4 linked regions of the Lytechinus pictus genome follow. The protein of the gene in region 2 interacts with the protein of the main gene of each other region in a biochemical or structural test. Links are inferred from orthologs where the notes say so. Each region holds a gene or a part of one and is shown on either strand. Other genes may lie near its edges.

Region 1 (7,378 bases), on a different chromosome or scaffold from region 2:
ACTACCGACTGAACCATTCGCTTCCATAGATGGTAGCTAGGGGGATTCCTTACAAGTTCATCAAGTGGGGAAGGCTGAATTTTGTTTAAGTGCAGCACGCCATTCTTGTACGGATTTGGTGTTGGCACAGATACCATGAAGAAGCATCCTTCGTTCTATCCTGTCCATGTCAGTGCTCAAGGTCTGTCCCAGGAGTAGGAGCTTTTCCTGGGTGACCAACAGGCTCATTGGGATTACATGTATGTCAGTGAGAAGATATACTGCTTCGTCGGCTGATGTTGTTGGTAGACCCAGAATCCGCTTAAATAGGTGAACCTGTGCTTTATCTAGGCGATTCAACATTGCCCTTGAAAAGGGAATGCTAGAGCAGCCAAAGATCATCCTGGTAACACAAAAAGTTTTCCACAGTTTTGCAGCGACATGGGGAACTACCCTTGCTCCTAGTGGTGAGGTTCCCACAAGGGCATAAAATGATCTGTATCCCTTTGTGATCGCATCAGCAGCGTAGTCATACTGAAGATGTCAGTCCTGACGATGCCAAGGTGCTTGTGTGAGGAGACCTGTGCAATCGGTTCACCATTGATCTGCCAAGAGTTGCCACTGTTCTGAAGATCTTGATTAAGCACAATGATTGCACTCTTGGAGGGGTCGATCTTGTAATTCCACTCCTGGGTGTAATTAAATGTGACATTCAACATCTGTTGCAGTTCCATGGGCTCATTGCTAAGAAGTGCAATGTCATCCGCGAAGGCTATGACCCCAACATATAGGTTGCCGACTGAGCAGCAAGATGACACTCCCTCAGACGCTTAATAAGGTCGTTGATGTAGAGAGTGTACAGCATGGGGGAAAGCACTCCCCCTGCCTTACTCCTTGGAGAACAGGAAAGGAGGGACCAACTTCATGCTTCCAGAATACCTTGCTTGAGCAACTGTTGTAAAATTCAGTAATGGTATCCAGCAGCACTGTAGGTGGATGAGTCGCTGCTATCTTCGAAAGGAGACCATCTTGCCAGACCCTGTCGAATGCTTTCTGGGCATCCAACATAGCTATGTACAGAGGTTAGTTGAGGGACTTGTACGATTCGATGAGAAGGTCAAGTGCTTTACCTGTAAGAGTACAGGACCTCTCTCGTTGGAAACCAAATTGCAACGGGTCTGGAATTTGGTGTTCTTGTAAGTGTTGGGAAAGTTTGGGCTTTACCAACAACTCAAACAGCTTTCCTAAGACTGGATTCAGAGTGATACCCCTATAATTTCCTGGGTCTGTTGGATTCTTGCTCCCACCTTTGAAGAGAGGAATGACAAGGCCATCTTTAAGGCTGAGAGGAATGTGCTTCAGATATATCATCCAGTTCATCATGATGAGGATAAGGATCCTAGTGGTGCACCCAGTGTACATTAGGTGCTCAGGAGAGATGTTGTCTGGACCACTAGCTTTGTCAGGCCTTAATGAAGAGATGGCCAAGGACAGCTCCTTTGAAGTGAAGAGATGGTCAAGCCCTTGTGGATGATGTATAGCAAGGGAGTCCATATTCTCAGGATGTGTTGGATTCAGAGCCTGTGTAGAACTGAAGTCAGATGGGGTGGCAAGATCCTGGAAATGCCGAGTCCACCCCTGGATGATATCGGGCCCAGAGTAGGTGAGACCTCCAGGGTTGAGTTGGTGCACATCAGAGCCAGGGCCTCGTTCTTTCACTAGTGTATAGAACAGTCTGTCGTTGTGTTCGTCGGCTCCCTCAATTCTTGACAGAAGACCATTCCTGCAAGCAGCTCTTGCTTGTCTAAGCTTAGCACGGAAGGCTTTTTTCAAATTGGCAGATAACACACCAACTGGACTGTTCTCTCCTTCTACCCCAGTCTCGATCGGCCATTTTGTTAAGATTCATAACAAAAATGGCCGATCGAGACTGTGGTAGGAGAGAACTTTTCGTTTTTTGAGGTTCCAGTCTGTGCCTCGATGTCAGGAAAATGCCACTCGTTATACCTTCATCCATATAATCTTGGTAAGTGCATAATTTCTGTTTTCACAATTCATTTGGAGAAATATTTAGACCATAAATCACGCTAGTCCCGTTAGTATGGTCAAATACACGGTAAGCCCCTGGGCTCCCTGGGTTATACATGATAGCGAGCCGTCTGTGTACGAGAAATTTAAAAAATAAAAAAATGTTGAATAACTTCTCGAAACAGACGGCTGCCAGCTGTCTAGGTCATTGACATCAATGGATGTAATCTAAGTCTAATGGAAGAAGAAGTAGGACCCCTATATAATTCTAAACTAGGCCTATAAGTATAATGTAAATTTTGGTAAAATTTTGATGGATTTCAAAGTAATAGAGGTATAATAAACTCGACGTTAGCCTGTGGGCGTGGGGTCTAAAAATTATGACGTACATTTCTCAACTCAAGAAGACCTTTCAAAAAGATTAACTTGAAAGCTCGATAGCGAAAATTCAAGCACATGATTTCATTAACCCATGTCAATTTTTGCATAATTTGGAGTATTAAGGTGCAAAATTAACTCTAGGCCTACGCAAAATTTTGTGAAAATGACATGAATTTCATGTTAACTCAATAACTGACTGTGGTAGTGTGGAACGTCATTACTAATACTATCTCAAAATTCTCATTAAACTAAATGAGTAAAGTAAAGTTGAACTCACCAATATTCTTTGTTTGTGATTTCCAAGCCCAGCGTCGGCGATCTTGGTGATAAGCAGTAATCAAATTCCTGGATGACATTGTGAAAAAATGATAAAATCAGCTGGCTGGAGATTTTCTGGTAGATTTAAGTAAAATCTAAATTAATGGTTGGCGTCTAAGCTTAGAATTTCAGTTTCGTTTCACAAAAACTTCATTTCCACACTTGTTTACGTTGTATCTGCAATGCATCGAATTTGGCGCGCCTCCCGAAAGATAGTTTCAAAACCCAGACGCTTTTTAGATCTATCACGGACGAAGCAGCATACGCGATGCACATTGTTGCACGATTTTACATCAAAACGCCTAGCTAGAGCTTAAAGATTTGAACCCGGAAGTACATGTAGATTCGCCAATCTAAAAATTCTAAAAGAATTTTACACACGCCAAACAATATCTCAAGACTTGAAATACCATGTCAAGTGCAACTTCTCGTTTGTCAAACTTCGGTACTGATGTCGGATATGGAGAACAAGAACATGATGCAAATTCAGCTCTTCTTGAGCTTGATAAAGGTGAGCATGAGCAAAATTGCAGCACTATTTGCGCTAGTTGCCGACCGCGACCCCCGCCGCGACCTGCTGCAGGCTGTGCAGCTGCACAGGCACGTCCAGCACAACTGCTGCCTCAGCTCTCCCGTCTTTCTCCAGTCCAAGAGTCTAGCTTCGCGCTGCCCGGGAGTAGCGGCGTGGATATGCCATGGCCTGGGGCCGATTGCACGTAAGGGTCTTTGCAAGAACCGTCTTTCGTGTCGCACATTTATTATGATGCGCCATGTGAAACGCATTTTAAATGAATTACCTGCAAACATATTTTATTCATCCGTTTAACTTTAAGTAGACAATTTATGAAATGATGTAATAATATCATGAAATCGTATACAAATTACAATTACAAATTGATTTAAATGCCAGCTAACGAATTCTATTTAGTATTTGTTTATCATCATACATTTCAGTAGGTAGGACAACGAAAAAAAAAAAAACATTGCTCAAAACTTACCATAAAATTTCCTAAGTAAATAGTGAAAAATAAGGCTGGCTTAACTGCAGAATACCCCGACACTGCTCACTACCCAATCGTTGGTCAGCCAACACAACGATGTCAAGACCTATAGCTATATACTAATTCAATGGTATATAGCCTAGATATATCCATACTATTATATACGTACATGCATTACTGGTACTACTACTACTACTATACTACGTACGTACGTACGTATGACGGTACGTACGAGCAATGCATCCAGGCCATACGTAATGACCTTTGCCCTTTGACTACTACTAGAGCTATAATTAAACATCGTTGGGTGCGCTGCTAGCCAACGACCCACGTTGTGACGGTACGGACGGTGCAATATAATATTCAAAACATCGTTGGCTAACCAACGACCCACGATGTGAAACTGTTATATTATAAAATAAGATTAATACACTCTTTTAAATTACCTACTAGAGCTATATACATCCTTGGGTGCGCCGCTAGCCAACGACCAACGATGTGACGGTGCCATGTAACATTTAAAACATCGTTGGCTAACCAACGACCCACGATGTGAAGGTGCAATAGTACAAGATTAATACACTCTTTTAAATTACCTACTACTACTAGCTATTGCTATACATCGTTGGGTGCGCCGCTAGCCAACGACCAACGATGTGACCGTGCAATGCAACATTCAAAACATCGTTGGCAAGCGTTTCAAAGTATGGTTTCACAAAACAGTTTAATATATGCATATCCTGGTTAGTGAGGTGATCGATGTCATTCACTCTCTATTTCTTTTGTATTTTTTATACATGAAATATTTTCATTTTTTCTTCATTAAAATATGAAATAAAGTTTTAATTCCCATTGAAGGAATTCAATGGGAATTGAATTCAATGGGAATTGAATTCAATTAGGGTTAGGGTTAGGGTTAGGGTTAGGGTTAGGGTTAGGGTTAGGGTTTAGGGTTAGGGTTAGGGTTAGGGTTAGGGTTAGGGTTAGGGTTAGGGTTTAGGGTTAGGGTTAGGGTTTAGGGTTAGGGTTAGGGTTAGGGTTAGGGTTAGGGTTAGGGTTATATTCACATCGTTGGCATCGCCGGCAATGTTGGCCTCTACAACAGGCATATTCACATCGTTGGCATCGCCGGCAATGTTGGCCTATGTAAGATACATTCACATCGTTGGCACTGTTGGCATCTACTACAGGCACCAACACATCGTTGGCATCGCGGGCGCTGTTGGTATATACATACTAAACATACATTCACATCGTTGGCATCGCCGGCAAAGTTGGCCTATACTTACTAAAGATACATTCACATCGTTGGCATCGCCGGCAATGTTGGCCTCTACTACAGGCATATTCACATCGTTGGCATCGCCGGCAATGTTGGCCTCTACTACAGGCATATTCACATCGTTGGCATCGCCGGCAATGTTGGCCTATGTAAGATACATTCACATCGTTGGCACTGTTGGCATCTACTACAGGCACCAACACATCGTTGGCATCGCGGGCGCTGTTGGTATATACATACTAAACATACGTTCACATCGTTGGCATCGCCGGCAAAGTTGGCCTATACTTACTAAAGATACATTCACATCGTTGGCATCGATGGCAAGGTTGGCCTGTACTACAGACACCAACACATCGTTGGCATCCTGGCCGGCGCTGTTGGCCTATACGTACTAAAGATACATTTACATTGTTGGCATCGTTGGCACTGTTGGCATCTACTACAGGCACCAACACATCGTTGGCATCGCGGGCGCTGTTGGCCTATACATACAAAAGATACATTCACATCGTTGGCATCGCGGGCAAGGTTGGCCTATACTACAGACACCAACACATCGTTGGCATCCTGGCCGGCGCTGTTGGCCTATACGTACTAAAGATACATTTACATTGTTGGCATCGTTGGCACTGTTTGCATCTACTACAGGCACCAACACATCGTTGGCATCGCGGGCGCTGTTGGCCTATACCTACTAAAGATACATTCACATCGTTGGCATCGAGGGCAATGTTGGCCTGTACTCTACAGTACAGACACCAACACATCGTTGGCATCGCGGGCAATGTTGGTCTACATAGGAAACTACAGATATGATCGCATCGTTGGCATCGCGGGCACTGTTGGCATGTACTACAGACACCAACACATCGTTGCCATGGCGGGCAATGTTGGTTTACATAGGCAACTACAGATATGATCGCATCGTTGGCATCGAGGGCAATGTTGGCCTGTACTACAGACACCAACACATCGTTGGCATCGCGGGCAATGTTGGTCTACACATACTACGGAAATATACACATCGTTGGCATCGCGGACACTGTTGGTCTACATACTACAGAACACAGATATAGATCGTTGGCATCGAGGGCAGTGTTGGCCTGTACCGACTACAGACACCAACACACCGCTACCATCGCGGACTGTGTTGGCCTACACGTACTACGAAAATATACACATCGTTGGCATCGCGGGCAATGTCGGCCTACATACTACAGATGCACACAGATATATATATAGATCGTTGGCATCGCGGGCAGTGTTGGCCTGTACTACGGACACCAACGCACCGCTAGCATCGCGGACTGTGTTGGCCTACACGTACTACGAAAATATACACATCGTTGGCATCGCGGACACTGTTGGTCTACATACTAATCGCGCGCGCTCGCATCGTTAGCGTTACAGTGCAGTCTGAACACTTAGAATCTATTCAAAAAATACTTGTAAGTTGTAAATCATTCAATTATTTATTATAGCTGATTTTCTGATTTGATAGCTTAAGTACATCGTTGTGCGTTGGCTCTCCAACGATAAGGTAACGCAGTGTCCGGGTATTCTGCAGTTGTTCCATAAGGCTTAAATGCTCCATAAAATGTGTCTGGATTTGCATACAGCATTTTGGCCCATCCCCATAGGCACACACAGCTACATCTCAGCCGCCGACTACAGAATAATTGAAGGCACGGTGCATTCAACAAATAACGTTAATTTGCGAAAAATTAATACGAGGACTTACAGAATGAAGTCCTCCTACAAAACTTACGAAACGATGTGAAGTCAATTCCTCATAATTTGATGAATATCCCTCAAACACAAAATGCGTCATTTAAGCGTTGATTTTTCTTCTCGTTGACAAAATACGAGAGCTACCTTTCTAGCTCTCAAATTTTTCGTCTAATGAGCGAAAGAGGGCGCGCGATTTATCTTCATATCAAAGACACTACAATTGAAAGACTAGACACAGAAATTATCTTACACGTAAATCGATGCAAAGCGTTACGCGAAGTCGGCAAAGTGTTCAATCTTTTTACTGTAAAGACTTTGGTGGAACGTTAATTGACAAACGAACGGTAGCACTTGCTGGGCTTTGTTCAAGGTACATAGAATTTTCTATATTTTTTGTTTAATTTGTCATCGTTTTGAATATTTTCCAAAAAGTATTATCGTCAGCAAAAATAATAAAAAAGTATGTTTTTTAAGTTATTGCATTTATTGGGGTCTCTATTTTATCAAACAATTATTGGAATTGCGCATACAATGAATAATGAATCTAGTTTTAAAAATACCACCAAGCCGAATTAAGGTTGCGAACTGTATTAGCGCCACCAACGACCTTCCTTTTATTTCCGTGGAAGAGACGTGCGAAGCCACTTTCCAGGCG
Region 2 (7,461 bases):
GCTGCCCGAAGAGGTAGTCACTGCTCAGACGGTGAACAGTTTAAAAATAAGGCTAGACAAGGTGTGGGCAGACCAGCGGTACTGCTCACCCTATGATGCATAAACCACACTAATATTGAGGACGGAGCAGATTTCCAAGCTAGACTGCTATGAAGATACCTAAGTAACGAGACAGATGAAGGACTTGAACTGGAAGCACGACTGCTGGGATCATCAGCATTCTTCCAGAATCTCGGGTAAAGGTAAAGGTATAACTATCCATTACACAATGACATGACTGTTTCAAACTATGGTGCCATGCATTCTTCCTCCATTGAGTTCTGTTCAGTCCTCTTTGTAGAGTATCGGTCTAGTCGTACCTGTGAGTCATACTAGATTTGATTTAGGTCATGGTGCTCACAATCACACTAACACATACAATTTGGTGCACACATTTTGAGGAATTAAACTTAAACTTAAAAGGGAAGTTCCCCCTGATAAATATTTTATTGTTAATATACTTTGATGAAAATCAATCAATAACTTGTTATTAGAATTTTCATTTTTTGATTTGTGATGTCATGCGAGCATGCAGCTTCCCCATATACAGTGTATTTAAAAAAACTCATTGAAATGTCATTTTCTTAAAAAAATTGAGAATTCTTTTTTTTGTACCTTGAGCAGGGTGACCAGATTTCACAAAATGAAATATGGGACAATCGACAAAAAACATCAAAAACGAAGGCTACACAGTGTTAGACTTGTGAAAAAATATAAAGAATTGGAAAGGAGGGTGAACGAAAGAATGAAGGATTAAAAAATGTGTTTCCTTCATTCTTTGAAAGAAAGAAACAAAGAAAGAAGAAAAACAGGAAGGGAGGATTGGAAGGAAGGGAAAGAAAGAATAAGGGAAAAGAATTAGAAGGAAAAAAATGAAATAAAGAATGAAAGAAAGGAGGAAAGAGAGGGAGGATTGGAAGGAAGGGAAAAGAATTAGAAGGAAAAAATGAAATAAAGAATGAAAGAAAGGAGGAAAGAGAGGGAGGAAAGAATGAAGGGAGGAGAGAATGAAAAAAAAGAAAAAAAAGAAAAAATGGAAGGAGAGAAAGAAGGAAAAGAAAAATGAAAGGGAGAAGGAAGCAAAGAAAAGTTTAAGGAAAGAAAGAATGAAGGAAAAAAAGGAAATTTAAGAAAGAAGGAAAGTAAGAGAAAGAAAAATGAACAGAGAGAAAGGTTCAGGAAAAAAAAAGGAAATAAAGATAGATAGCCAAAAAAGGGCAAGCAGGAAGGATGGAGAAAGAAGGATAGAAAAGAAAGAAAGAGGAAAAAGTTCAAACTTCAAGCAAACAAAAAAAATCATCTAACAAATCATGGTGTTTTTAAATGCTTTTATAATAAAAAAAAAATCAAAATGTACTTTTAGAAATGAATAAAATTTCAAAGTGAAACATTTTCAAACTTAAAAATTAGATGAAACATCGCTGCAGCATCATACACAACAAGATCCCCAAGACTCAAAACAAAAGCTGAAACAATGAGATCTAGTTATGAAAACTCAATAACTTGTTCCTCCAATTACATCTCCAAATCTGTAATCTGAGAATCCATAATGTAATATAATTATACAAATTTCCGGCTGATTTTGTGATTATTTTGGTGGAAAAACTGTTCATCATGTGAGATTGCTTGCACCATTGAGAATCTGCTCTGATCCTACATGCCTAGCTAGTATAGCCTGCCACACACAGGCAGGAGGCCAGTTCGTTTGCAATGTATTGGGTTAGCAATAAAAAAAACCACAGAACCTGCAAAAGTTTAGTTATCGATTTTATTGTTGTCTCTGCTTCGTCATATCTGTTGGTTATTTGATGAAAATTTGTCACTTTTAAAATGTATTAACTACATTTTGTTCAATATCATGAAATACGGGACAAATAGGCGTCCCGGGAAGGGTTTGTCGGGACGCCGGAACAAAGGAGTAAAATATGGGACGATCCCAGGAAATACGGGACGTCTGGTCACCCTGACCTTGAGTAGACTATATTGATCAACACTAGACTCTATCACTCTACAGTACAAAAAACAAATTATTTCACAACCGTGCCTGAAAGAATTTTCCAGTGTGACTGTTGCAAGAAACTTGCGATCAATTGCACATCAATTTTTGGTCGCTAATTCATTCATAACAATTGTTTTGCAACTTACGTAAATTGCAAATTTGTGATTGCAGATCCGATTCTTGCAAAACGGAATGTCATCCGTTTGCAAACATACAGCTAAAAATGATTTTAATTCAGAGTTGCCAAGACAAGACCAACTTTGTGTGAGAAATTCCATGACTCGGCATAATAATTTGTAAAAAAATGCAACTAAACAAAATAGACTATGTGAGTATGTGCAATTTATTGCAAACATTTTATTGCAATACCCAATTATTTAGTTACACAACTCAGTCAGACTCAGAGTCAGACATTGTGATTGTGTAAACCCATCATCTACCATAACATTAACAACTTATCAACTTAACATTACGGACATGATGCATCATGAAAAAAAAAATGGTCGGAAGTTAAGTCAACTCACTCAGCAGACCAGTGGCAAGTCAAGTAGACTAACGTTCATTACGTTAGTGACAATTAATTTTCTAAACTAAAGTTTTAGAAATTTAAAAAGTTAAAGTTTTAGAATATTTAATTTAACAACGTTAGATCTCAGAATTTCTTAGAACTCTACTCTGACATCACAAATTGTCATTTTTTAATGATTCATAAGACCGTAATCAAATTTCATAGAAACGGTCATGGAAATGATGTGTATGTAAGTGTAACAATATTGAATATTTAAAAAAAAATTGACGTACCCGCAGCGGAGACTCAGTCAGAGCTTGATAACTACCTGGGCGGCTGCCAACGGCGCAAATGCTTTCCAGTTCCCGCTCACTTCAGTCCAGCTCGCACAGCTGCAGTCGTACTCGTACCGTACCACTCACCACTTGCGATCTCATTAAAACTGGCGCGCCAAATTTGCACATGTCATGTGTTTTGATAGATCGAAGCTGAATGACGACCGCCATCTATTGGCGAAAATAATTTCAATTTTCCAAGTACTTACAGGTATAGCATGGACGCACCGGGTGCGCTGAGAAATTCTCAACTTTTTATTAAATTCAAAGATGCACAAGATACCATTTTCATATTGGTGATAATAGGGCCTATTATCATGTGCATGTGAGAAGTGATATTTCTAAGATAAAGTCAGTGGCGACAATATGCAAATATGACTAATCGCCAGTCAAAAAGAAGAAGCTCCCTCAAAAAATAATAATAATGATAAATAAAAAAGTTTAACGACCAAGACAAAAAAAAAATCTAACCCTGTTAGTTAGCTCGCGCCAAAAAAAAAGAGAAAAAGGAAAGGAAAGCGTATACAATTTTTTTGTAGGACCAGGGGCTGCGGAACGTGTGTACGACGTAGGGAACCTCCATGTCAAAAGAAGAATTGAGTGCATAATAACCGGTATTCTCACCGTCATCTTCCGTTTCTGCATGCCTGAAGTAATAGTGCCGGTAATGTAAAGTTTATCAAAAACAATTTTAAGGATATATATATTGACAATATTGTGCCTGCAGACTATGAAATGGGGGCACTGTCTTCATCAGAGCTGAGAAGTGGTGGAAAGGGATTTTTACAATGAAAAGAGAGATAACATTTGAAGGTAAACATATTTTGAAAGGAACTGTTTTATGGGCGCTGTTTCAGGGGCGGATCCAGCCATCGCCGATATGGGGGGCCCTGAATTTTTTTTCAGCAATATTTTCCCTGATCGGCCGCTCGAAGATGATTTATGTATGTTTCTTTGAAGGGTAGTCCTCATAGTAACTTCTTAGCTTTATGCTTATAAATCAACATAAATATATCATATCATAATCCTTATCTATATAATGCGAGCGCGAAGCGCGAGCTAAATTTTTTTGAAAATTTCATGTATTTTTCGTAAAATTTGAATAATCTGGGCAATGTTTGTTATCCTGAGAAAGATGTATGTGCAATTAACTAATTATTACGAACGCGAAGCGCGAGACTGCTTGCTATTAGCCATGAAGACGTTGCATATTTCAACAATCAAACAATGAGAGCGCGAGCTGAATTTTTTTTTGACATTTTGACCTAAAGAATGGAAATTGTAAGCAATTTTTTTCGCGAAGCGCGAGCGGAAAATTTCGAGATTTAGACCTAAAAACGAGACACTCTATTCATGTTTTGTAAATCATGAAAAGGATGAGTAATTGGGGTCTTCCTTACATTAATAATGCGAGCGCAAAGCGCAGGCAGAAAATTTATATACACGTTTTGAACTGATTCACCTGGTAAGGACTGCTTGCACTTAACCATGAAGACGTTACATAATATTTCAATAATTAATAATGCGAGCGCAAAGCGCGAGCTAAAAATAAATTGACATTTGTATACATAAAGCATTGAAAATGTTTGTAATCGTGAACAGGATAGTTATATAACTAAACAATTGATGCGAGCGCGAAGCGCGAGCGAAAAAAACGAGATTTAGACCTAAAAACGGTACACTCTGTTCATGTTTTGTAAATCATGAAAAGGATGAGTAATAGGGGATCTTCCTATACACTAATAATGCGAGCACAAAGAGCGAGCAGAACATTTTTGATATTGTGATCTGAAACTGGATAATGATTTACATAGAGCACAAGTTGAGTATCTGAATAAACATGCGCGCGTGTTTCAGATTTAGACCTAGAATCTAGGCATTCTAAACAGGGGCCGCGGGCTGGGGGGGGCTTCAGCCCCCCCTCCCCCACTTTTTTCAAAAAGCGTGTACAAAAACGTAAAAATGACCATATGATTGTGATTTTTTGCATGGTCAGCCCCCCCCCCCCCCCCCACTTTGAAAACCGTTCCGCGGCCCCTGCTAAATACATCTTTTATCATGAAAATCAAAGCGAGCGCGAAGCGTGAGCTTAAACTATTTCATATTTCAGCTCTATATATATCAAGCACTTTGTAGGAAAATTGTGAGGTGGATATGGATCGCACTTAATAAAGAGCTGATATTTTGGCTCGGTGTAAAAATGGCAGAGGTAATAATGGCAGAGGTAAAATGGCAGATGTAAAAATGACAGCTCTATAGGTAAAAATAATATGGCCAGTCTTAAACCCCCATGCAATGAATTGTCAAAAAGCCCCCGCAAGTACATACATTAAATAAGAAGTGCATGTCACGGTTAGTCATTTCATCATTATGTCTATATCGGCCTAACAATGCTTTGTACGAATTCGTTGCAGGTGTACCGTGAACGCTTTTTAAAAAGAAATCAAACGACAGATATTTTTTCATTCAATTTATCAGGAGCAAAATGAAATTGCACTATTCTCATTCATCATTTTATAACATTCCTTTTTGTCTGGCTGGTTTTTTAGTATATCTAAAGTTTTGCCAGGTTTACCGATGCAAAAAAGGAGGAAGAGTAGACATAAGAGAGGTGGAGAGACAGAGAGGGTTAGGGGGCGTGGAAAAACATAGAGAACATAGCGGGGAAAGCTTAGACGTTGAAATAGTCACGAATGATTGTGGTTAAATATTATGTCCTTATTTGTAATGTCGTCTGTACTATTCTTTTTAAATATTTGAATGACTATAAGCATGCGTTCCCAGGCTTGGCAGTGAATATGTAACTGATTATGAAAATCAATAATAATCTTGTTTTGACTGGTAAACCAATTCGGGGTCGATCGAGGGGGGTCGTCTGGTTCAGATTCTTTGCATAAAAGAAGACCCTGAACCTTTACCACTGCATCCAATATGATATAAATGCCTTGATGGTCATAACCCTTGGAAGCGGAAGTGCTGTTGGGGATTTTGTACACCATAAGCAGCACCCTTTTGGTAAATAGCTTGGTATATATAAAATTATTATGCTAAAATGTAGAGATTTGATACAAATCTCTGTTATTTTTCAAACAGAAGAAAAACATTGTTTATTATCTAATTGTTATTATTTTTGTTGTAATTCTTTTTCTGACCTAAAAGAACTTCATTTAGTTGAAATAATTTTTTGTGTCATTTTCCCCCTTAACCAAATCCCCTTTCATTTTGGAGTGAAAACTTTTTTTCTCGGCTTTTTAACAAACCAGCACCCCATATCTCTTTCATTTTTGCCTCTGCATGCCATCTATACCTTTGCCATTTTCAACTCCGCCATTTTTTACACTGTTAGAAAATTTATACTTAAAAATCAAAAATTCCTGCAACAGAGTCTGGAGAACAGCTGTAATCTTACTGCACTGTGTAATCTTACATGCATTAATTGTGTAAAATTACAGAATATTGGTATTTTGTGCGTGTACCCTTACAAATTTATTGTAATAAAACTGTTTTCCCCTTTTTTTAAAACATCTGTTTTGTAAAATTGTAGAAAAATTGTGGAAAATCCTCCTGTTATTATAATTTACAAAATTATTTTTTATTTCTGTAAAACCTGTCTTTTAATTTTTTTTCTGTAGAATCTATGGTTTTTTTAATAGTGCACATGTACCTCGGCCACTTTTACAGCTGTCATTATCACATCTTCCATTTTTACCTCTTGTCATTTATGCCTCTGCTCTTTTTACCTCTGCGGTTTTTACCCATTTTTACCTCTGCCATTTTTACCTCTGCCATTTTTACCTCTGCCATTATTACCTCTGCCATTTTTACTTCTGCCATTTTTACCTCTGCCATTTTTACCTCTGCCATTATTACCTCTGCCAGTTTTACCTCTGCCATTTTTACCTCTGCCATTTTTACCTCTGCCATTTTTACCTCTGTCATTTTCACCTCTGCCATTTTTACCTCTGCCATTATTACCTCTGCCATTTTTACCTGGCACCGATATTTTTCATTATTCATATTGCTTTGAGACTGAGTTTTGACATAGGACCAGGACATCCTTATATAGGACATGTCCTCATAATTTATGCAAATGATGACTGTCTTCCTTTTCCTCTTGCTAAGCGCGAGATGAAACAAAAGGGACAATTTAATTATTAGGGGACATCCCGATAGACCGCGGGTCCGATAGACCGCGGGTCCGTTAGACCGCGGGTCCGATAGACCGCGGGTCCGATAGACCGCGGGTCCGATAGACCGCGGGTCCGATAGTCCGCAGTGTGTGTAAAATTATGATCAGATATATCAAATGTCATCGAGAGGTCCAAAGGTCAAATGATACGAGGCCATGGGGTTCTATCAGGTGTGGATCCATGGAGGGCCGAGGGGGAACTGCCTCACCCCCCCCCCCACCCCCAGCTCAAAAAAAAAAGAGGGGGAAGAGGGGAAAAGGGAGAGAATAAAAAAAGAAAGAGGAAGATGGGAAAAGAAGAGAATAGAAAAGAGAGTAAGAAGGAGAAAGGAAGAGAAGAAAAAGGGGAAAGGAAAGACAAAGAAAAAAGGGAGAAGAAAAGGGGAAAGAA
Region 3 (7,075 bases), on a different chromosome or scaffold from region 2:
TTGTGAAGATGGGTAAAAGTAATTTCTTACCAACTGTTGTGCATATTTGAAGTTCTTCTTTCCTTTCCTGCCTCCATCAACATAGAAATCAGTCAAGAAGCCTCTGCATTTGTCTGAAAAAAATTGAAGTGAGAAAGAAAATGTGTGAAATGGGGAGAAGATATTTGCATCTATTTATATCTTAAACGAATCAAAGGGCAGATATTCAATCGCTTGATGATTAAGTGAACAATCAATGTTCCTGGAAACTTTATTTGCTTTCCTTTTAGGTTTTTCTTTTTTACCCCTGCAGTTCTTGACTGTGCACAAACATGGTCAGGCTCCTGAACTAAGGCCACCTTCGCCTTCAGCAAGAACTTGAAGTTCATGCTACATGTAGTATGTGATAGTGTGAATGGAGCAAGTAAGATTTAAGAACACAAAAATTCTCAGCTGTGAAAAACACGTCGAAAAGTAAAATCAAATCATAATTAGAAAGGAAATTGATCAATAACAAACTGAATTCGATGACATCATGGCAGAAAAAGAAGTGGTTACGAGGATGGAAGATATTCAAACGATATTCAACTTATTTGCTACAATGTATGAGCTCATTGCACAAGGCGCTGGCAGTAAGCATGTCTCTGACACTATCAGGATTCAAGATCACACTCAAGGACATTGGTAGGATGAAACTCGGAAGACTGCCAAAACTGACACTATCTTGCTTTTGTGCAAGCCTTGCTAAGCAAAGACTGTGCATGCTCAAGGATTTAGGAATCTTAGAGAAACCTGTCACTCTACAGAAAATCAAAGATTATGTCACCTTCTTAGCATCCACAGAAGATCACTGTCAGAATGAGTCTACATTTACATGAAATCTGGTAAAACTAGGAGAATCTCTCTTGATGGATAGAAATGGAACATTTAGAGGAGTTACTTTGACTATCTACAACAAGTTCATTGTATGTGATTCAGGTTCTCAAGCAAATTCAGAATCGTCACCTGACAACAAGGCCAAAGGAGGGCATAGACATGCTCTCAAAGAAAAGATACTGAATGAGATATCTCCAACAAAGAAGCAGGGGACCATTTCTAGGAGATCAAATCATCCACAAGAGGATCAGACATATCTTTGTTGATGCTGCAGATGGTGCAACTCCGAATTCTGGAATGCAAGGGAACTGTCCTGAGCAGAGATACAGACGATGACCTGGGCCACGTAACACAAAGGTTAGCAATTAATCGCTAAAAGAAATGGCCTATCAAGATCATCGTTGCATGCACATTTTGCTCAGCAAAATAACTAGGAACCAATCAGAATTGTACTTTCAAATTAGCGATTAATCGCTAACCTTTGTGTTACGGGGCCAGAATACATGAACCTGGCAGAATCCCTTCAATTTCTATACCGTCCTGTACAATCCACCATACAGACTCTTACCCTCACAAAAAGAGCGGGAAGAGGGTCAACTCTGGAATTGATGTAGGGTACAATTGTAGGCACAGGCCTGAGTAGGTCTCAACTGTTTTTTTTTTCATTGTTGATCTAGTTCTATTGAACATGAAATGCAGGCAAATCCAGAATCTGATCTCTTCATGTTCCAGACCAAAGAATTGTCATGGACTCATAGTCATTCAGTATGTAAACTGAAAGCATGTTTGACATTTTATTGGCATTGTAGTTTGACCCAATGATGAGCTTCATATTTGCAATAAAAACATTGCATTAAGATGTATATAGCCTACTTCTGTGATTCTCGAATGTACATGTATTGTTTATTGGACTTGTCAATTGGTTTATCTTCTGTATAAGTTCTTTGAATAGAATAATTAGAACGCATGACTGTACACTTTAAATCTTGGTTGAAGATAATAACATTAACAAGTACAAGTTTCACTGCAAAATGATGATGCCGATTTAAGCTAATTTCCTGCTGTATTATTATATTACATGTAGGAGTACAATCAGATTTGTCTGCTTGCAGAACTGCTGATCTGACTTTGACTCCAAAATAGTCATATTATTGTCTTTTTCATTGAAAAATGCCACATCCAACATTTGATCCAAATGGTTTTGAATAGGTTTGGTAGGCTATGTAATTTTACTATTAATTTATAGACTTAAGAGTAGTCTCTAGTCTGGTCTTCTCTTTTTTACAAACCTGAATGAAATTTTACTAGGGCCCAAGTAAGAAAGAGAAAACAGATGAAATAGAATCCATACATCATGCAAATGCAGCCATTAGGAAAATAGGAAATGATTATTTCTTATGAAGCCTAACTGAACTCCCTCCCATTCCGCTCACACTCAACGTTAGTAAGTTAGATTTATAAAATATTACTTTTGGGCGATGTCCAGGCCAGCAGTGGGCTCGGAGTCAGAGCGGAGTCGCGTCGGAGCCCGCGCCCCGTCGCTGGCTAGGCTTTGAATATGCAGCTCAGGCATGGGAGCAAGTGCACTGCGTCCATTTAAACTTTAAATGGCTTCACCGCGGCCGGCGCGTGCGACTGGCTTCAATTCATCCGATCATCCAAACTGTTCTCCGTCTCAACATCTCACAAAAACAAGATAAAAAACTGTCGTAAAATACACTCACCCTTTTCTGCAATGTAATCCCTGGCTGCCATTGTCTGAACTTGTAATTTACTGTACTTAAATCAAATTCCACAACCAAACAATATTTCTTGAACAGCTAGCAGACCCTTTTGTGTACAAAATCACACAGACGAACCTGGCGCGAAATATATCACGTGACACGCCAGCGCGAGTTGACTAGTCTCACGCTGTGAGAATTTTGTAATTAAATGCCAATTAATCATTTACAGATAGGTATTCTGCGCTAAAAATAGACAATTCACGAAGTAAATAAATTTCAGAATGATTCTAAATAATCAAATGGTCATAATTTATCGCACAGACGAACCTCTCGAGAAAGATATCACGTGACACGTCTTTATTTAGAATGAAAATAGGTAATTTACACGCTTTAAGGAAGACAACGACTTTTCTTTGTTGTTGTTTTTAATTCGGTATTGTGGTTCGATACATGCACGATTGACAGCTGTTTCTCTGTTACGACGATACCATGCTCGTCCCTAGATTTTCATTAAAGCGTTCTAAACAGAAAATATGCCTGAAAAATATGGCCCTTTCTCCGATTGTAGCACTGTTGTTACTTTTTTTAAAGTTTTGTATGTTTGTAATTATTCTTTCACGTTTCCTTCTCATTTTTTTCTTTCTTTGTTCCGGGGGGGGGGGGGGGGCGGTACTTCGATTTTGTTTCGGACGGCCCGCGGGGGTGCGCGGCTAAAGATTCAAAACCCATTCCCATATTTACCGGTCATTTTGGCTGAAAAGTTACCCATTATTAAGGATTAATTGAAATTTAACAAGCAGAAAAAAAAGGTTATCACCCAAAATTGAAGGAGACCATCCCACTGGGCAATTTGTTACCGATTACCAATTTTACCGGTTATTACCGGTAATATCACCCGGAAATTTGAGTAACACCAAATATTACCGTTATTACCATGTTATTACCGAAATTATAATTACTGTTGATACCTGTTACTGTTATCAACCTGATGAAACCTACATTTACCTAGTTACAACAGGGTGGTGAGGGGTAATAAGGGTAATGTTGAATGACTTTGATTGGTTATAACATTGCAAACTTTAGTAATAAGAGCAATCTTACAGCAATCCCAGCGAAATTTTCAAAGTCCAAAAAATTACTGTTATCACCCTGATGAAACCAAATTTTACCCAGTTACAAACAGGTTGATAAGGGGTAATGGGTAATGTTGAAACGCTTCCATTCCCAGACAGCAAAGTATCTGGATCACATACGGTTCTTATCTGGGATATCTGGGTCCCATATGGGCCCACATGGAACCCAGATGAAAACATATACTTGAACCCACATGGTGCCCAGATAGGACTCAGATGGAAACGAGACCTCCAACCCATGCGGAACCCATTAATATTGGGTAAATGGAGTAATATCAGATGGTAATATCAGGAAAATGCTGGGAATATTAGTTACTCATGAATATTCATTACTACAATAAATGGCCAAAATTTTAGCTAATATAGCTGTAATAATTAATGTGTTTATGTTTATGCAATTATTCCACCCAGAAAATTTTCAGAAAAATGTGTAGTTTATATATCATATTAGTCATAATCATGACATTAATTTTAGAAAAATGTTTTAGGGTTGAATAATTGTTAACCATAATTTGTCAAGTGTTGTAAACTCGCTCAATATATAGAAGTAAATGACAGGGTTTGGTGGATAGGTGTAGGATAGGATTAGGATTAGGATGTAGGATTTTAGGATAGGATAAGATGATATGGCTTAGAGTATGGAGTTGTAAAAATGTGCTTCAATGACCCTAATGACACTAATTGTTTTTTTAATGAGCCGACATTAATTGGGTAATATTGGGTAAACAGAGTAATATGAGGTGGTGATATCATTAAAATGCTGGAAATAGTAGTTACATCATACTGAGAAATATTGGGTAAATGGAGTAATATCGGGCAGTAATATCATGAAAATAACTGGAAATATCGGTTACATCATACTGGGTAATATTGGGTAAATGGAGTAATATCGGGTCCGGGTAATAACGGGGAAAGATTGGTCTACTATTTCCCCGTTACTACCCACTGGTGTTACCGTGGTAATAACTACGTTATTACCTGTTACAACCCGGGTAATATCGGGTAAAATGCCCAGTGGGATGTTTAAGGCCGGGGTATCTAAAAATTGGGGCCATGGACCCAAGTTTAAGGCCAGTATCTAAAAATTTGGGCCATGTTTAGGGATTTCTTCAAAAAAAGCGACACATTCCAGCGGCACATCCCCGTATGCCTTATTTCGTGAGTGACGTACCCCTCCCCCGGGCTTTGTTTATATACACTCGTTCATTTTCTTCTCCGTCTTTTTTGTCTTTTTCTCTTATATTTAGCGCGCGCGAACAAGGTCCTTCAGGGGGGGGGGGGTATCGTGTGCCAACAGTCCACCCAAGCGAGAAAGGGGGGAAAAAGGAAGGAACAGGGAAGGGGAGGATGAAAAGGAAGAAAAAATATATTAAGAAAAGGAAGCAAGGGAGGGAAATAATTGGGGGAAACTCAGGTCATTATCCCTGATCTATTAAAAAAAAGATCGCTCGCGTTTTTCCTTCACATTGCCTTGGAAAATCTACTCAAGAGGATAACTCGCTCGTGATTCTACCCAGAAGAAACCAGTTCCATATATCAAAATGCATTCCAGTTCAAGCAAAGTAGCCTATGGGATAGTGCCAGTCAAGGGCGGAAATCTCTCCCCAAATGTAGGGGGACCAGGGGCTGGAAAATTTGACAAGCAAAAAAAAATTGTTATCAGGCCACAAATTTAAAGTCACTCCGACCAAAATAAATTTGACGAGGCAAGCAAGCAACAACAAAAAAAAAGGTTATCACCCAAAAAGTAAGGGCATCTCGTCCAAAATACATGTTTTATTTCGATTTTGAATGATGTATTTCTTTCCATCAAAAATAGTAGGGGGGACATTGGATATTGTGTCCCCCTACTATTTTGAGTAGGGGGTCGCGCGTCCCCCCTGGGATTTTCGCCCATGGTGCCAGGCAATTGTTTTAAATCAAACTGGTGTTACTGAATTAACCTATGAGTCATGACCAGCAGGCCTAATTGTTACTGTAGATTTTTACTTGGCCAGTTGATTTTTAACTGGACCAGTAAAACTTCTGATGATGCAGATCACGTGGTTTCATATCTCCCGTTTTTTAAAACACAGAATTATAATTTAGAATAGTATAATAAATGCAAGGTCCAACTGATTCTTAAAAAAATCAAAATAAGTGTGTAAACTAGCTATTTTACAATATATGTAATTATTATTTTAAATAACAGAAATATTCATTTATGACTATCGTTTTCCGCCATATTTCACTGATCATGATCATGATGTTAACAAATCAAACGGACTTGTTGGAACATTATAGTTTTATCCCACAAGACATGTTTTATCCCCACAATTACGTGCTTCTCACCCAATAAAAATCAACGAAAATTGTCAGATTATCCGACAAAGACAATGTTGATGGAACGCCCCCTGCCCCCTTGGCCTCGTATAACACAAACGTTGCGATTAATCGCTAAATGAAACGGCCTATCAAGATCAGTGTTGCATGCGCATTTTGCTCAGTAGACTGACGAGGAACCAATCACAATTGGTCTTTCAAACTAACGATTAATCGCTAACCTTTGTGTTACGGGGCCCTGACCCGGGGGGGGGGGCACTCAGTATATAATGCATAGTGGGTATGTGCCGCGGAGGGGACCCCCATTTTTACACTCAAATTTCCGATCCAAGGCATAGCATTTTTGTCTTATTGAGAAAAAGAACAAAGAAAGCCGTTCCAAGGCATAGCATTTTCTTCTTATCGAGAAAAAAGGAAGACAGAAATCCGCTCCAAAGCGTCGCATATTTTTCGTTACGCCGTTCCGGTCGCATTGAAGCTGCAATTTTGGTGAAAAGCGGCCGAGAGCGCTGTCCGACCATCGCCTCTGCGCGAGCGCACTCGGCGGCCGTGCCGCCGGGCTAGCTGCATCATGCACGCATACCCGTTCCATAGGGATGCATACAAGCTCACACGCTGGCGATCCGTTCCAAGGACCCCCGTTTTTACAAACATTTGTCGTTCCGAAGCCCGTTCCGAGGACGCTCCTTTTTACAATAAGCCCGCTCCAAGGCCCCCGTTTTTTGTCTCGCCCGCGGCACACCCCTACCACTTTTTTGGTCGAGTGCCCCCCCCCCGGGGGCCCTGATCTACTATGCGGCCTCCGAGCTGAAAAAGGTTGTTCACCACGGATCCAGGGAGGGGTTCATCCAGCCCGTGCCCCTTCCCCCCTCTCCTGAGAGCATGGCCCTCAGAAGCGGGTGTGCTGGGGGTGCCAAAGCACCCCTAATGATTTCCCTGGGGGTGTTGCGTGTATTATTCTCCATAAGCAGCATTTCCGGAATTTTGGAAGGTGTGTCAAATGGGGGAAAAAATACACAAAATGACTTACATTTTTTACAG
Region 4 (7,963 bases), on a different chromosome or scaffold from region 2:
TCCAGGCCCTTTACTTTAGCTCCTTGACAATGACAGTGAAGGTGCCGGTCCAGAAAAAAGACAGAAATAACGAACTTCTCAAAAAACTGGACTTGCTTGCTTGTCATCATCATTAATTATTTTTATAATGACACTCACACTGTAAAATACCTCTCAAATGTTGCCAAAGTCAAATACATACAATCGAAGTAAGTGCATAATTTGTTTTTTCATTTTTTATTTGGGGTGCTATTACGACCCCATTCTACCCCATTTTGGAGAGTACGCGCTGCCTAATTACACGGACGAGTCCAGGGGCCTGTTGCATGACGAGATGAGCGATACGTAGGAACGTCCTAGGACCATTCTTCCGAGATAGGAAGATTGGCGACAAATCAGCGCTTTCCGTTTCACGAAGGCAATTTTGTCTTCCAAGTCCGCGACATCGTTTGATATCGATAGTATCGGGAAAATATTTAGTCTTCATCGTCACCTGAACCTTTTATTTCTGAATGACGACTTTACATAAAATCCGATATTTCAATAAAAGGAGATCAAATAATGTTTTATTTATTACTGATAGTAGAATTGATGTATGGAGCTTACTTTATGAGGTTAAAAGAGAAAAAACTTTAAAGATTCACAAACATAACTAAATAAAATCGAAATTTTCATTATTTCCCTTATTTAGAACACGGTGTCTTTTTAGAGACACCTTTTATTGATATTTCAACGAAAGAGACCCTTGGGCCTTGTCCGACATAAAAATTGATTTAACTAAGTAATTTCGACATTTATGAGTTCAATATTCTGTATTTTTATAGAATACTTGTATATAATGATAATTTTGCAAATTATGCGTTAATATGTTATTTGTTGAGGTAAATATAGGGTTTGAATGGAGTAAACAAAATCAACAGTGTCTGATTGTATGAGACTAAAAAGGAAAATATGAGAGGCTGCGTGTGAAAAATCTAATTTATTTATTTTATTTGTCAGATATAACGCAAGAAATACAAATGTGAGTATTTAGAGTATAAACATACCTCAGTTGCATGATGAGTAACAGAAGAAAATGAAAATATGAAAATTGCTGCAAACATGTCCAAGTGGATAAAGTAGTACTTTGCAATAATAATTAAAACATAGAAAAAGGTGTGAATCAATCCGCAATGGACAAATACTTTTACAGAAATAATGCTAAATATGACAACGATCATAAACGCTGGTCATATTTAAAGATGATCACTTAATTTATGGAAGGTTTAAGAAATAACATAAAAGATTTAAAATGCGCCTCTTCGTATGGACTTTCCATAATCTTTTCTTTAATGAACTTATCTTCATTTGTAATGATTGTGATGGATTCGTAAGCTATAGGCTTAATCTGTATCTTAAATTCAATATTAGCTGCAGGTTTTTTGTTTTGTTTCACTGTTTCAAATCCAACAATTAATTTTCATTGATTAAAATAAATCTCAGCAAAAAAAAATAATTATAATGAAAATAAAATAAAATAAATAAATGATTTAGCATGTTTAACATCTTAGTTTTGTTTGTCTTGGTTTTTTTTTGCTGAATGTTATTGAACACGTTTTTTACCTTACATAATTTCTTTTAAAGAAATTTGTTGTTTATCTTTAATGAGAAAGCATGACTGGGGTCGGCTAAAGAGATATAGTGCCGCCCATTTCAAGTATTTCAAGTTTATTTTTTTAATAGAAAAGGGGTGGGGATAAGACGGAGGGAGAATAGAAGAAAACATATTATTTTTAAAAATATTTGGCCCTATACATTACCCCCGGGAATAATACATGTATGATGGGGGGACCTAAAGCTACGCACTTTGTTTTCAAACAATAAAAACTACCCCAATTTTAGTATTTCAACAAATATCTTTCACTAATTTGTGGCAAACATTCTAAAGATCATTAACCAAGAAGAAAATATCGCAAAACTCACTAATACGAAAATCCCGCCGAGTTTTCCGAACACCTCTTGATTTCGCCACCCGATGTAGAAGGGGTCCTAAAGCTACGCACTCGATTTATCATGCAAAAAAATAGTATTTCTTGTGCCTCAATTTCTAAAATACATTCATATTATTATAGGATAAAATGAAATTTAAGCGAATATAACTCCAAAATTCCAAACAGTTGTTGGTTTCTCTGCATTTAGAGATTTTACTGCAGTGCAGCCTCTGAAGAAAAAATTGAATAGGAATCGTTCGTCACTCTGCAGTCACAGTTCCACACACAGAGTGCGCATTTGCCCCGCGCCGCCGGGCATTTGCCATAAAAACTGCATGCGCGATGAGTGCTGCGTAGCTTTAGGACCCGCGCAGCTTTAGGACCCCCTACCATACCCCGGCCGGAGAAGTTAAAATGACATCCGTTTTTGGTCGTCCTGCCGTGCAAAAAGACGACCTGAAATTGATGACAACTATAGCCCCCATATAAAACATAACTTGGCACCATCCCAGATAAAATGCATCAGAGTGCAACCAAAAAAAATGTTTAGAGGTGATATGTCAGTGTGGCTTGCCGTAATTTTGGCGTAAATGCATTTTCTCTCAATGCCGACGGTGGCGGGCGGTGTGCAAAGAAGATCATGCCTACGTAGGACATGTCTGGAGGTGTCTTTCCAAGGACCATTCTTCGTATCGCCCAAATCGGCTTTGTGAAACAGTTGAGCGATATCTCGTTCTTACGTAGAATGGTTCTACGAAAGACCCTTTCATGCAACAGGCCCCTGATCTCGGGCTCCGCCCCGCTTCGCGGGCCGGAGCGGCCTGGGTTACCGAGGCAGCCGTAGCCGTGGCCAGACAGAAGCCCAAAACGCCCGGCCAGAACGATGAGAAACAGAGTGGTAATAATAGCGGTAGTGTACTCAAGCTGGAAGATTAGACCATCGTTAATATATATGACTGCAAAAGTTAAATATAACAAAATGTTCTTGCACAATATAAAATTTAACCCCACTTACGAACTTTGACTTTCAGTCAGACTCAGACTTCGACTTTAAATTTCGTCGAACATGCGCAACGAAGGAGAAGTTAACCACACAAATAGAATTGGAAAAAAAAAATGAAAAGTAATAATAATTTTAATAATAAAATTAACCCACTGCGCGGGCGTATTACGCCATTGACATATTCATTATAAAATGAACATACATGTGCTTTATATTAATGCATATGTGAATGTGATCATCTTTATTTTTGTTTCTTGCTTTAATGAAATTATCGATATTAATCATTATTGCCACCCCATGGCTACGGGTGAGGAAAATCATGATTTATCGTGAATAAAAAAAAATTGTATTCATTCCTCTATTGATCATCTATATTTCCATTTTTTCTTCGTACTGAACATTAAAATTTTACATCAAGTTATTCTATAATAATATTTCATCTACCATCATGCCCAATATATTGTCATATATTTTCAAACACCATCTGTGCCAAACATTTGGGCAGGGGCGGGTCCCTCAACCCCCGGCCCAAAAATATTTCAGCGGGGAAATCTACAAGACCACCGAAAGTTAGTGAAGGAAATGAAAAAGAGGAAGCAAAGAAAGAAAGAAAGGAAGGAAGGAAGGAAGGTAGGAAGGTAGGAAGGAAGGAAGGAAGGAAGGAAGGTAGGAAGGAAGGAAGGAAGGAAGGAAGCAAAGAAAGAAAGAAAGAAAGAAAGAAAGAAAGAAAGAAAGAAAGAAAGAAAGAAAGAAAGAAAGAAAGAAAGAAAGAAAGAAAGAAAGAAAGAAAGAAAGAAAGAAAGAAAGAAAGAAAGAAAGAAAGAAAGAAAGAAAGAAAGAAAGAAAGAAAGAAAGAAAGAAAGAAAGAAAGAAAGAAAGAAAGAAAGAAAAAGAGGAAACGGAATGGGAAATTAAAGGGGAGAAGAATGAATAGGAAAATGGAAAGGATAAAAGGGAGAGGAAGACAAAAAGGGAGGAAAGGAAAGAAAAGGAGAGGAAAATAGAAAGAAAGAAGAGGAAAGGAAGTGAAAGAAAAAAAGAAAAGGAAGAGGTATGGAACTCCAATTCCAAATGACACGGGAGAAAAAAAAGCGAAAGAAGAGAGGGGCAAGAAAACGAGAAGGTATAAAATGAGAAAGAAGAGGAAGATAATGAAAAGAGAGAATGTTGTATAAAATAGTTTGATAAAAAACAAAATAATTCCTTTGCTTAATTGTTCTCTCGCTAACCAATCCATTCCACTTCATTATGATATTCATAACAGAAAGATGTTCATCTTAGTCAATATGCGAAGGAGAGTGGATCTCTATTGATACATTTTTTTTTTATTCTCAAAGTTGGCGTTTTATAGCACTTTGTTGTTTGTGCAGGTGGTGATATTTTTGCTTAAAGACAAGTCCACCCCAATAAAAAGGTGACTTGAATAAAAGGAGAAATATCATACAAGCTTATAACATCGATTAAAAAAAAATCAAAATCGGATGTAAGATAAGAATATGACATATTAAAATTTCTCTTAATTTCGCAAAACAATTATATGCACATCATGGTCGGTATGCTAATGAGCAGACCGATGATGTCACCCACTCACTACCTCTTTTGTATTTTATCACATGAAATATAAAAATTCTTATTTTCTCCTCATTGCATGTGAAACAAATCTTATTCCTCCCTGACCATGTGTGATGACAATTATTTCAACAGTTTATGATTAAGTCAGGTTGGTCCTTAATTGTTGACAAATCTGTAAAAATTGAAATATTGTATTTCAAACAATAAAAACAAAAGAAATAGTGAGTGAGGGACATCACCAACTCTCTCATGTGCATATCACTGAGTTGTGCATATAACTATTTTATGAAAAATAAGCGAAACTTAAAAATATAATAACTTTCTTATTTTAGATCCGATTTTGATGAAATTTTAAGCATTATGCTTGTTTAACTTTTCTCTATCATTTCTAATCAACAGTTTTATTGGGTGGACTTGACCTTCAATGGTGTCCTGGGGAAAAGATTTGCCCCCTCTCCCTCAGATTTCCGTTCCAGGCTCATACGTTAATGGATAATTATATTGTCTAGTGCCCTGTTTCATAACATTGGGTCACGGCATGGGGCCTATGGGGGACCTGGTGGGTGTTTCATAAAGCTGTTCGTAAGTTAAGAGCGACTTTAAGAACGATTGGTGATCCTTTCTAGTGGCAAATTGCATATTCATTGGCGATGGTTTAGCACGTAAGAAAGGTTCACCAGTCGTTCTTACGGTCACTCTTAACTTACGAACAGCTTTATGAAACAGCCCCCTGGATTTTTTGGGCACTTAGTGGGCGCGCTGAGCGCGTTCAACAGCCAGCTATATGACCTCATAGAGACGTTTTAAGGACTGTGCAATTAAAATGATTTGTATCTCACTGAGGCGAGCGAAGCGCGAGCTGATTTTTTTTTTATATATTCGGACCTAAGAAAGGGACATTATAATAGCCGATTTATGTAATCATATGTATATCTGTCTCACTAAATAAACAATGTGAGTGCGAAGCGCGAGCTGAAATTTTACATATATTGACCCCAAACAAGGACCTTTTAAGGACTATTCTTTAGAAATGAATGAAGAGCTAGCTTACATAGTCATCTAAAGGTCTGGTCCCACTTGCCGACGGACACAAAACGTATCCATAGGCTAACGGATACAGCGGACAAGCCAATTTCGAGGTGGCTCCATCCGTTTACATCCGCTCCAGACAATGGACAATGAAATCACAGTGGACGGATGCTCGATGGAGAACGTATGAAACAGTGGCGTACCGTGGGTCACGGCATGGGGGGTACCAAAAATGTTTTTAGTCACTTATTGAGTGCGCGAAGCGCGCTCAGTTGTCAGGTATACTGACCTAATAGAGAAATTCTAAAGACAGTGCCATTAAATGGATATATATTTCACTGATCACATAATGCGAGCGCGAAGCGCGAGCTGAAATTTTTTTATATTCAGACCTTTAAAGGGACATTATAAATACATTTTTGTAATCATGATACGTATACCTGTCTCGCTAAACAAACAATGCGAGCGCGAAGTGAGGGCTGAAAGTTTTGTATATATTGACCCCAAAGAGGGACATTTTAAGGACTATATTTTAAGAATCCATTAAGAGTATACATATCTGACCATAGTCATCTAATACGAGTGCCATTTTATCTGATTTTGTTAGAATTTTATACATCTAAACACATGAAGCACTTGTAGGCATTGTAATCATGATTAACATACGCATCTTACTGACCAAATATTGCGAGCGCGAAGGGCGAGCTGAAAATCTAGGAAATTCAGACCTGAAGAGGGACATTTTAAAGGCTTGTTAGTAGGAATTCACGAATACTATGCGTATTTCACTAACCAAATGATAAGAGCGCGAAGTGCGAGCTTAATTTTTTTTTGTATATATTGACCCCAAACAGCGATATTTTAAGGACTATTTTTTAAAGGAATCCATGAAGAGAACACTTATCTCACCATAGTCATCTAATGCGAATGCCAAGCGCATGCTGATTTCTTAGAATTACATCTAAACACATGAGAAACACTTTTTGTAGTCATTGTAATCATGATTATTATACGCATCTCACTTGTCATATATTGCGAGCGTAAAGCGCGAGCTGAAAATTTAGGAAATTCAGACCTGAAGAGGAGCATTTTAAGGCTTGTTTGTAGGAATTCAAGACCATGCGTATTTCACTTACCAAAATATGCAAGCGATAGCTGAAAATTTTTGATATTCAGATCAGAAAAAGGGACATTTTAAGGACTGATTTTAGGAATTCATGAAGAGCAGACATATCTCACTAATCTACTAATGCGAACGCAAACACGGACAGGAAATGTTTTATAGTTAGACCTTAAAATGGGGCAATCACTTTAAGTAGTCATGAAAAAGAAGCATATTTGTCACTACATAAAACAATACAAATATTATTTGGTGTATACTGACTTGAAAACGGGAGGTTTTAGTATAACGGGATTATATATCTCGTTAAACAGACAACGCGAGCATCAGGAACAATGAATACATAAGCCCTGAGCAAATTATGTTTCATAAAGTTAGGATTTTTTTAAATTTTAATGTAAAATAACATAACATAATTATAAGATAATATAACATTATAATGAATAATAATGTCTTCTTTCCCACTACGTTTCTCTCCCTCTTTTCTCCTTTTCCCCGTGTTTTTGCCTCCCATGCCCCCCCCCCCCCGTAGTTACGCCACTGGTATATGAAACACGTGTGCAAAGGGTACACAACGGATACATAATTCCATAGGATAGCAACATTATTTTGCGTTACATCCTCTCTGCATCCGTAAGTGCAGTGAGCGCCAAGCGCGTACTGATTTATTTTTATTATTATTAGAATTACACCTAAACACATTTGTAATTATTGTAATCAGCAACACCATACGTTTCTTATTAATCAAGGCGAGCGCGAAGCGCGAGCTGAAACTTTTGATATTCATAACTGATTAAGAGGGCATTCTAAGACAAGAATTCATTAGGACCATACGTATTTCACTAACTAAATGATGCGAGGCGCGAGTTGAAAATGTTTTAAATTAAGACGAGAAAAGGGACATATTTAGGATTGTTTTTGAGGAATTCATGGAAACATCATCTCACCAATCCACTGCATGCGAAGGTAAGCACGGACTGGACATGGTGGTGTATATTGACTTGAAAACGGAGAATGTTTTAGTGAACAGGATTAATATCACCAGGATCGAGTGACGAATATGCCCTTATGGGAAAATATTTCATGTTATATAAAATAATAATGTAACATAAAATGATATAATAAATAAACAGTAATGTCTTCTTCCCTCGCTATGTTTGTCTTTCTTTCTCCCTCTTTTTCTCCTTCCCCCGTTTTGTGTGTGTGTGTGTGTTTTGACTAGCCGATGGGGGGGGGGGGGGCGTGCTCCACGTGCCCATTCCCCCGTAGTTACGCCACGTACTGCCATAC

Evidence for each region.
Region 1: of the proteins of serine/threonine-protein kinase Chk1-like (region 2) and denticleless protein homolog, one has a biochemical effect on the other in vitro, tested with the Homo sapiens proteins (2 studies listed by BioGRID). The link is inferred for Lytechinus pictus from reciprocal best matches to the Homo sapiens genes CHEK1 and DTL.
Region 3: the proteins of serine/threonine-protein kinase Chk1-like (region 2) and DNA replication licensing factor mcm7-like form a complex in vitro, tested with the Homo sapiens proteins (2 studies listed by BioGRID, with this or other methods). The link is inferred for Lytechinus pictus from reciprocal best matches to the Homo sapiens genes CHEK1 and MCM7.
Region 4: of the proteins of serine/threonine-protein kinase Chk1-like (region 2) and serine-protein kinase ATM-like, one has a biochemical effect on the other in vitro, tested with the Homo sapiens proteins (2 studies listed by BioGRID, with this or other methods). The link is inferred for Lytechinus pictus from reciprocal best matches to the Homo sapiens genes CHEK1 and ATM.

The regions. Positions count from the first base shown.
Region 1 is NC_087251.1:16,413,226-16,420,603, reverse strand, and holds the start of denticleless protein homolog, read right to left. Parts: upstream 3,002-7,378; 5' UTR 2,745-3,001; coding exon 2,666-2,744; intron 1-2,665. UniProt on the Homo sapiens protein: Substrate-specific adapter of a DCX (DDB1-CUL4-X-box) E3 ubiquitin-protein ligase complex required for cell cycle control, DNA damage response and translesion DNA synthesis.
Region 2 is NC_087252.1:4,964,241-4,971,701, reverse strand, and holds the start of serine/threonine-protein kinase Chk1-like, read right to left. Parts: upstream 3,020-7,461; 5' UTR 2,840-3,019; intron 1-2,839. UniProt on the Homo sapiens protein: Serine/threonine-protein kinase which is required for checkpoint-mediated cell cycle arrest and activation of DNA repair in response to the presence of DNA damage or unreplicated DNA.
Region 3 is NC_087260.1:14,307,270-14,314,344, forward strand, and holds the start of DNA replication licensing factor mcm7-like, read right to left. Parts: upstream 3,015-7,075; 5' UTR 2,611-3,014; coding exon 2,580-2,610; intron 114-2,579; coding exon 31-113; intron 1-30. UniProt on the Homo sapiens protein: Acts as a component of the MCM2-7 complex (MCM complex) which is the replicative helicase essential for 'once per cell cycle' DNA replication initiation and elongation in eukaryotic cells.
Region 4 is NC_087248.1:3,339,763-3,347,725, forward strand, and holds the start of serine-protein kinase ATM-like, read right to left. Parts: upstream 3,026-7,963; 5' UTR 2,965-3,025; intron 1-2,964.